Callithrix jacchus: one gene and its partner. Each later gene encodes a partner of the first gene's protein in a complex. Links are inferred from orthologs where the notes say so. Each region holds a gene or a part of one and is shown on either strand. Other genes may lie near its edges.

Region 1 (3,614 bases):
TAATATTTACTTACCTGTTCCTGAAAGCGTGAAACATTTCCTCCACTTAAGAGAATATAATACCTCCTACTAGCATATGAAAAAAATCCTCTTCAAAGAAAAGGGATATTGATTTTTTCTTCAAAGAAAAGGAATATTTTGGGTGGTAAAACTCTTACCTGCTTCGTATCACTGAAATATGAAAAGGTGGCCAGTACTGAAATGAAACTGCCACAAAGTGTGTGCAGAAATGAAGAAAGTAAATCTTCAGTGACCACTAGCAAGCAGTCCATTGCTGTGGAGTTTAAGGTTGCTGAAGAGATTCTCCAACTCACTTTTGAATATGGTTTCTATTATTTTGGAATTAGTAGTCTCAGTGAATGTAATAAAATTTGATTAAGAAGAAAATAAGCCAGGCGCAGTGGCGCGTACCTGTATTCGGGCTGCTGAGTTGGGAGGATCGCTTGAGTCCAGGAGTTCTGGGCTGTAGTGTGCTATGTTGATCGCATGTCCGCATAAGTTCGGCATCAATTTGGTGACCTCTCAGGAGCAGGGGACCACCAGGTTGCCTAAAGAGGGGTGAACCAGTCCAGGTCGGAAACGGAGCAGGTCAGAACTCCTGTGCTGATCAGTAGTGGGATTGCGCCTATGAATAGCCACTGCACTCCAGCCTCGGCAGCATAGCGAGACCACATCTCTAAAAAAAAAAAGAAAAAAATTCTCTAATACACTGATGACAAGGAACAGAAAGGTGATTTGGATTGTCATTTTCTCTACTTATGAGTAGAGAGGCAATCTAGCACAATTATCTAGAAGTCTCTGAGCAGAGTAGGAAGATCTGGGTTAATTTTGCAGTTCTCTCACTTGCTATGTAACTTAGTCAAGCAATTAGCTTTTAGGAGCTTTTTCTGTGAAGTGGGCATTGTAATACCCATCTTATTGTTGTAAGTATCATGTGAACATCGCATCAAAATGCTTCATAATTTCTAAAGTACTTTACAAATATCAGGTATCAGTTACTCCGGCAAGAGCCACATCTCCTCTCAAGCTGTTAGTATGGGGTTGAGTCAGTCTATTTATTAGTTAAGCTGGGTTTTCTTCTTGCTGTGGTTACCAACCTTACTTTATAGGATTCAAATTCTAGTCGTGGTCTGCCTTTGCTTCGTGCTTAGAGTGGGGTATGGTGGCTCTCTTTCTTCCTATGCCCTGCTAAAAGCAAGCTAGACTCATTTCTCCTTGGAGGGGCCTTTTCTTGTTGGGATTGAAACTACTTGGTTGCCCTGCGAGATTCCAGCTCTCCGGTGGACTCGAGAGTTAATATTTGAGGTTTATTAAGCTTTTTCTCTGTTGGGGTGGGAACCAAGTTATTCCCAGCTTTCTGTGTAGATAGAGGCAAAATTCTGTGTGCAAAGTATTTTGTTTTTTACTAAGGTGAGTATGATATGTTTAGAAACACAAATTATTTTAGTAATACTACAGACACCACTGCTTCTCAGCTAGTAAAACATTACCAATTCTGAGCTGGGTGCAGTGGCATGCAGTGCTCCTGTAATCCTAGCTGCTTGGGAAACTGAGGTGGGAGGATTGCTTGAGGCCAGGAGTTTTGAGACCAGAGTGTGCCACATAGTGAGACCCCATCTCAAGAAAAACAACAAAACAAAATATTAGCAATTCTGGCATACTAGTTTCCAGAATGATAAAAATGGTTACTATAGGTACAGTATATGTTCTTGCATTTTCTCGAGAAGATATTGCATACAAGCTGAAACTGTAGTGAAATTAATTTTTCACATGTGATTTATGGTCTTGTCCATCGACCAACTCTAAAAAAGAACTCATTATCCAGTTTACTTTTTCTTACAGAAATATGATTCATTTGTCTGAAGTATTTGACAAATACTTGACCGTTTTTTGTGTTGTAAGACTGTGAAGAGCAGGTGGAACTTCTAATGAGCATGAGGCACCTCTGTCAGAGATACATAGTCTCTACTTTGCTGCTTGCTACATGGCTAGAATGAGTAGATAATGTCTGACCATTTCTAACCTATGATTTGTTTATTCTAATCCTTCACACCAAGATTTTCTACAGAGAACTTTCTTACTGTTATAAATGTAACTTTGGCTGATTTATAAGCGAACATTGAGAAGGAATCTATACAAATGCACCTCTAGAGAAGGCTCATTTAATACGTGACTGTATATAATATGCCTGTCACCATCACTAGGGTGTAGGAGGAAGGCAGATAACAAATTAAAGTCTGTGCTTTAATTATGATAGATTAGAAACATCTTTGTATATAGGAGGACCTATATGTCATTGGACACAACTGAGAATATGCTTAGGCCATATTGGTGTAGATACTACAAATTTATTTTCATAATCATTAATGTGCCAAAGTTAAAGCAAAATTTTAAAACTGTAGAAATATACTTAAGAAAAAATGATGAGTATTAAAACATTTTACTTTGCTTTACTTTTTAGGTTGTAGATATTTTCGGTATATTTTAAAGCAAGATCACCAAATCTTAGGGAAGAAAATTAAGCGGATGAAGAGATCAGTGAAGAAATACAGTATTGTAAATCCAAGACTCTGATGCTGGATTTTAGTTTTTTCACAGTAGTAGCTACACAGTAAGCAGCTCAGTAGTTACTGAATGTATTTATGTAGTGTATTAAGAAGCTTATATGAGTCTAAAAAACTTATTTTTATATATTTTAATTTATTTATAGCTAGAGAAACAATATTACTGCCTTTGCTCTTTGTAAATATGTCTGTTTTCTTTTTTGTAATATTAAATGTTACATTTGTTAAGGAATAATTCTTGAAATTCAAAAATATTTAGAGAATATAGCTCTACAGCAGTTATTGTTTGCAAATAATTTTCCTCTGGCTATTGTGTAATAAAATACAACTTGTGGTACTGTAAAATAAATTGGCATTCTTTTTATTCTAATTAATCCATTTTAGGTATACCACCATGAAGAACTATATTGGTGATGAGTTCTGTTGAGGAATTTTGAAAAGAGAGAAGGATTTAGAAAAATACTTTTTCTCTTTCAGTATAAAGACTTGACAGTTTGGGGCAAAATATCCTCCTGCTAGAGAGAGACCTTTGACTCTAGAGGACTAGTTTGGGTCACAGCAGTGTAGAAGTCTGGCTTTTTTCAGCTGGCACTGGCCTAACTTTAAAGGGCTCTTGGCTTTTTTGGTGCCTGGCGCAGCAGTCTAAGACATGCTTAGAACTCACGTGTCCCCTCTCCTTTTTCTCTTTTTTAGCCAAAAGCTATAAAATAGGATTATGATTTATCTTGATCTCTAAGAAAATGGAGGTGAGGATAAAAGAAATGAGTAGATATGATTATTGGTTTTCATACAAAACTGTCTCTTAAAATGTTTACATCAGGCCAGGCACAGTGGCTCACCCCTGTAATCCCAGCACTTTGGGAGGCCGAGGCAGGTGGATCACAAGGTCGAGATCGAGACCATCCTGGTCAACATGGTGAAACCCCGTCTCTACTAAAAATACAAAAAATTAGCTGGGCATGGTGGCGCATGCCTGTAATCCCAGCTACTCAGGAGGCTGGGGCAGAATTGCCTGAACCCAGGGGGCGGAGGTTGCGGTGAGCCGAGATC
Region 2 (4,557 bases), on another chromosome or scaffold:
ACCCGCCTCGGCCTCCCAAAGTGCTGGGATTACAGGCGGCAAGACTCTATCTTTGTAAAACAAACAAATACAAAATGTGGTCGGGCACGGTGGCTCATGCCTGTATTCCCAGCTCTTTGGGAGGTTGAGGCGGGTGGATCACTTGAGGTCAGGAGTTCAAGACCAGCCTGGCCAACACGGTGAAACCTGGTCTCTACTAAAAGTACAAAAATTAGCCGTGTGTGGTGGTGGATGCCTGCAGTCACAGCTACTTGGGAGGCTGAGGTGGATGGACCTCTTGACCTGGGGAGGCGGGTTGCAGTGAACTGAGAGCCCGCCACTGCCCTCAAGCCTAGGCCACAGAGCTAGACTCTGTCTCAAAAAAAAGGGAAAGAAAGAAAGAGAGAGAGAGCGCGCGTGGGAGGGAGGGAGGAAGGGAGGGAAGGAGAAAAGGAAAGAAAGAAAGACAAAATGTGAAACATTTCAGTGATTCTGCATTGTGAGTTAAATGTTACAGCTAGGCTTGGTTGAGTACAGCAGTGAGTGACATGTCATACCAGTCCTGGAGCTTAGTCACGGCACAGACCCTGTGGATCAAATGCAGAGGACTCCCTAAGGGATTGGACTTTTTATACCTGGAATTGTCCAACTTATGGCACAAAGTAGGGTAAAGAGACCAGATTACTTTTAAGGCCCGTCCAATCCTAAAATGACGTGCACTGTAAATTAAGACTAGACAGCTCTAATGGCTTTACTGGTTTATCATAGGAAAAAAAGATTTGAAAGCAGAAAAATCAAACCAGTTCATTAAAATTACTTTGGGAGGGAAAAAAAACCCACGAAACTACTCAGGAACCGGTTTAGGAACTAGGGGTGAGCGGGAGCAGAAGGAACCTCAGGAAAAAGAAATCCTCTACTGGTCTCGTTTGTGACTTGTTAGCCAACTTCCGGGAGGCAGAAAGGGGAGGTCACGAAACAGGTGCAAAAGTGGGCGTGCTATGGAGTAACACTGGCGTCCAGCCCAAAAGTTACACACCTGGAGTCATGGTCAAAGGATGAGCCTTCCCAGTATTTTAACACACAAAGGTGTCTGAAGGCAAAAGCAGACCCAAACACGCACATATCCCACCCGCCACCCTCGCCACACACCCGGGACCAGGTTTAGAAAGCCAGGCGACAGCTCAGCAAATGCGAGCCACCGGAAACAAACCGGGCTTCTCGCAGTTCTTACCCACTCCTAATTGTCCTCATGTTTTCTTTTTGTTATTTGCCGAAATGTTCTTGGCTCTTCCACTCACCGAATCGGTCACGGAAACCCACAACAGAGCAGAGTCCTGATCTTCGCTTCGGCCAACCCCGCCTCCTCAGATAACGCGAGCTGAAGCTCCGCCTACGTTAGCCGCTCCTCCCCGCGCGGCGAGAAAAATGGCTATCCTGCTTCCTGTCCTCCTTCCGTCGCTCGCCTTCTTCCCGGGTGCTAAGTTGTATCGCGAGATTTCGGCCTCGCTATTACCTGGGCCGCGGGGATTGCTCACCCTTTTTTTCTGCGCGGTTGGAAGACGCAAGGTGGTTCTCGGGAGTTGGAGAACTGAGGTCGGGATATTGGTGAGTGCAGGTCTTCAGGACTCACGCAGCAGGCCAGTCGCGGGTTTTTGGCCAGAAGCCTGGGTTACAGTCACCAAGTGCGCAGTTAGGGCCGGCGTGAGGCGGTTTTGGGTAGGTAGACGTGGGCAAGGCCGTCCGGCCCTGGCAGCCGGGTGAGGCGTTACAGATATGGGTTTTTTCGGGGCCCCAGCGTTGGTCCGGAGGATCGAGTCTCGGAGGTAGGGCGGAGAGGGTGAAGGGTTCGCAGCTCAGGCCCCTCAGCGCCAAGCGGCTGGAGGCCCACACAAACGCAACTGTAGTGTGGGCGGCCTTCATTATATCTTGAGATGGAGGTGTTAAAATGTGTTGTGAACGAGTTTAACTTCCTTACGTGGTTTAAATGATTTAACCTTCATATATGGGAGACAGCCATTACTAGTGCCGGTTTCCTTGAGGTAAGGCGCTGCGGGGAGAGACGCGCTGGTGATAACGGTGATAGCTCCGGGTAAAGCGCCGCTCTCTGACCACGAGACCTCTTAGGAATCGCTAAATCCCGGCAGAGGCATCGACACCTAAGTAGGATGTGTTCCGAAAAACTTAGAGAAAGTGATTATTGAGCTAGCTTTCTTTTGATAATCCCTATTTAAAAAAAAAAAAAAGCAGGTATACCATTAATGCATGGGACCAAATTATTGAATTCGGTTTTTGAGCATTCGATACTTAATGACTTCGTAGAATCTTGTGCTTAAGAAACTAAAACTACAAGATGTTCTAACAGGAAATTACCACAGGGGTCCGTTGGGCATTTAAGAAATCTGAGCTCTTGGTGACCTTATCGTTTTCCTATATTTGAAATATTTTGCTAGTTTATCCTAGGATTTATATGTAGTGACTCATGTCGGGTCCTAAGAAACTACGGAATGAAACAAGAGAATGACTAAGGCTAAGACAGTAGTGAAATAAGTAGTTACCTTTATTGTTTATTTTTGTTGCCAAGCCTATTTTTTTCCCCCATTTTTTTTTTTTTTTTTTTTGAGATAGGGTCTTGCTCTGTCGTCCAGGCTGGAGTGCACTGGTGCAATCTCGGCTCACTGCAAAGCGATCCTCCGGCATGGCTGGGAGCACAGCCACAGGCCACCACACCAGGCCAGTATTTTAAGAATTTTTTTTTTTTATAGAGACAGGGGCTCCTTGTGTTGCTGAGGCCCACTACAAACAACCTCCATCTCCCAGGCTCAGGTAATCGACCTACCTCAATACCTCAGCCTCCTTATTGGGACCATAGGCGCGTACCATCAACATGGCTAATTTTTGTATTTTTTGTAGAGACTGGGTCTTGTTGGTCTTGAGCTCCTGGGTTCAAGTGATCCGCCCGCCTCGACTTCCCAAAGTGCTGGGTTACACAGGCATGAGCCATCCTGACCAGCCTGTTTTTCTTACAAGAAGGAATCGTTTTCTTTTTTTTGTATGTTGCCTTTTTTTTTTTTTGTATGTTGTATACTCTACTATGGAGATGAAGAGACAGAATTATGATAGTTTATCGAAAAAGGTTGAGAATTCAGAATTTGTCAGTTTCCACCAATAATGGCAAAGATACAGTATGACGAAATTAAGTTACTTAAATGAATCTAGGAATGAATGAGGAATCTTAGAATTTAAAATGGTCTATTGAATTTGATCAGGAGTTTAAAATGGTCTATTGAATGGAGATCGTTTTCCTGGTTTATTATATAGGGCACATTTTGCCTTAGCAATTCCCCTTCGATGTAGGAAAATGGCTTTTAATTGTACATTAATACTGTGTTGGTAATTATATGTTAATATGTGGCTAATGATAAAACTTCATATTGAAAGAGGCTTTTGTCCACCTTGTCTTTTTTGGAATCTTGTTTCATTGAATAGATTTAGAGGGTAAAAACTGAAAATCTGGAAATAGAATTTCTGGATTTTTTTTTTATATAGAAATTGATCTGAAGTGGATAAGCAGCTTAAGCCTGGTAAATGATTTTGTCCAAAATGAATGGCATAGTCTGACTGTGTTGAACATTATAGTAGATACCGTGTCAATATTTAGGGAAGCTTTGTCACATTTACTAAATTTCACAATTTCAGAAAACTTTAAAACAAAGAACAACTGATGGATAAATCAGGAATCGATTCTCTTGACTATGTGACATCTGATGCTATGGAACCTGCAAATCAAAGGTAAGTGGGTTTTTACTGGAGAACTGAGTAGATCCAGTCATATTTATTATATCTGAATTACTTTGAGAAACTAAATTATTATATATAATGAATGACAGTGAAGATAATTTTCGGGAATTGGGAAAGAAGGAAAACCAGATTTCACTGACCTTCCATGTTTATCTAGTTTATATAGATTGATATAATACTATTGCAAATAATTTTAATTTAAAAAATGAATATATTCTAATGGGACACATTCTTAGAGAAAAAGTTTATTCTTTGGGTCTCTTCTGGACTACATCATCCTGTTTTTGTATGGCAGGCTGTGTTTTTTTGTATTTTTTTTGTTTTTTATTTTCGTTTTATCTTTTTTTTTTTTTCATTTTTGGCAGGCTCTCTTTTACTCAGGCGTTTTTAGCAGTGAATCATACAGTCTTGGTTGAGCTCATACATTATCTTGAAAGATACATGATTTTTTTTTGAGATGGAGCTTCGTTCTTGTTACCCAGGCTGGAGTGCAATGGTGCGATCTCGGCTCACCGCAACCTCCATCTCCTGGGTTTAGGCAATTCTCCTGCCTCAGCCTCCTGAGTATCTGGGATTACAGGCACGTGCCACCATGCCCAGCTAATTTTTTGTATCTTTAGTAGAGACGGGGTTTCACCATGTTGACCAGGATGGTCTCGATATCTTGACCTCGTGATCCACCCACCTCGGCCTCCCGAAGTGCTGGGATTACAGGCTTGAGCCACCGCGCCCGGCCTAGATACATGATTTTTTAATAAGTTGAGCATGGTGGTGCTTGAC

What was found.
Region 2: TATA box-binding protein-associated factor RNA polymerase I subunit A (region 1) and TAF1D share a complex: the UniProt entries of both Homo sapiens proteins name them as parts of the transcription factor SL1/TIF-IB complex. The link is inferred for Callithrix jacchus from reciprocal best matches to the Homo sapiens genes TAF1A and TAF1D.

Annotation. Positions count from the first base shown.
Region 1 is NC_133520.1:17,638,058-17,641,671, reverse strand, and holds the end of TATA box-binding protein-associated factor RNA polymerase I subunit A, read left to right. Parts: intron 1-2,461; coding exon 2,462-2,574; 3' UTR 2,575-2,913; downstream 2,914-3,614. UniProt on the Homo sapiens protein: Component of the transcription factor SL1/TIF-IB complex, which is involved in the assembly of the PIC (pre-initiation complex) during RNA polymerase I-dependent transcription.
Region 2 is NC_133511.1:46,622,152-46,626,708, forward strand, and holds the start of TAF1D (TATA box-binding protein-associated factor RNA polymerase I subunit D), read left to right. Parts: upstream 1-1,484; 5' UTR 1,485-1,584; exon of another isoform or gene 1,585-1,695; intron 1,696-2,604; 5' UTR 2,605-2,709; intron 2,710-3,675; 5' UTR 3,676-3,700; coding exon 3,701-3,768; intron 3,769-4,557. UniProt on the Homo sapiens protein: Component of the transcription factor SL1/TIF-IB complex, which is involved in the assembly of the PIC (preinitiation complex) during RNA polymerase I-dependent transcription.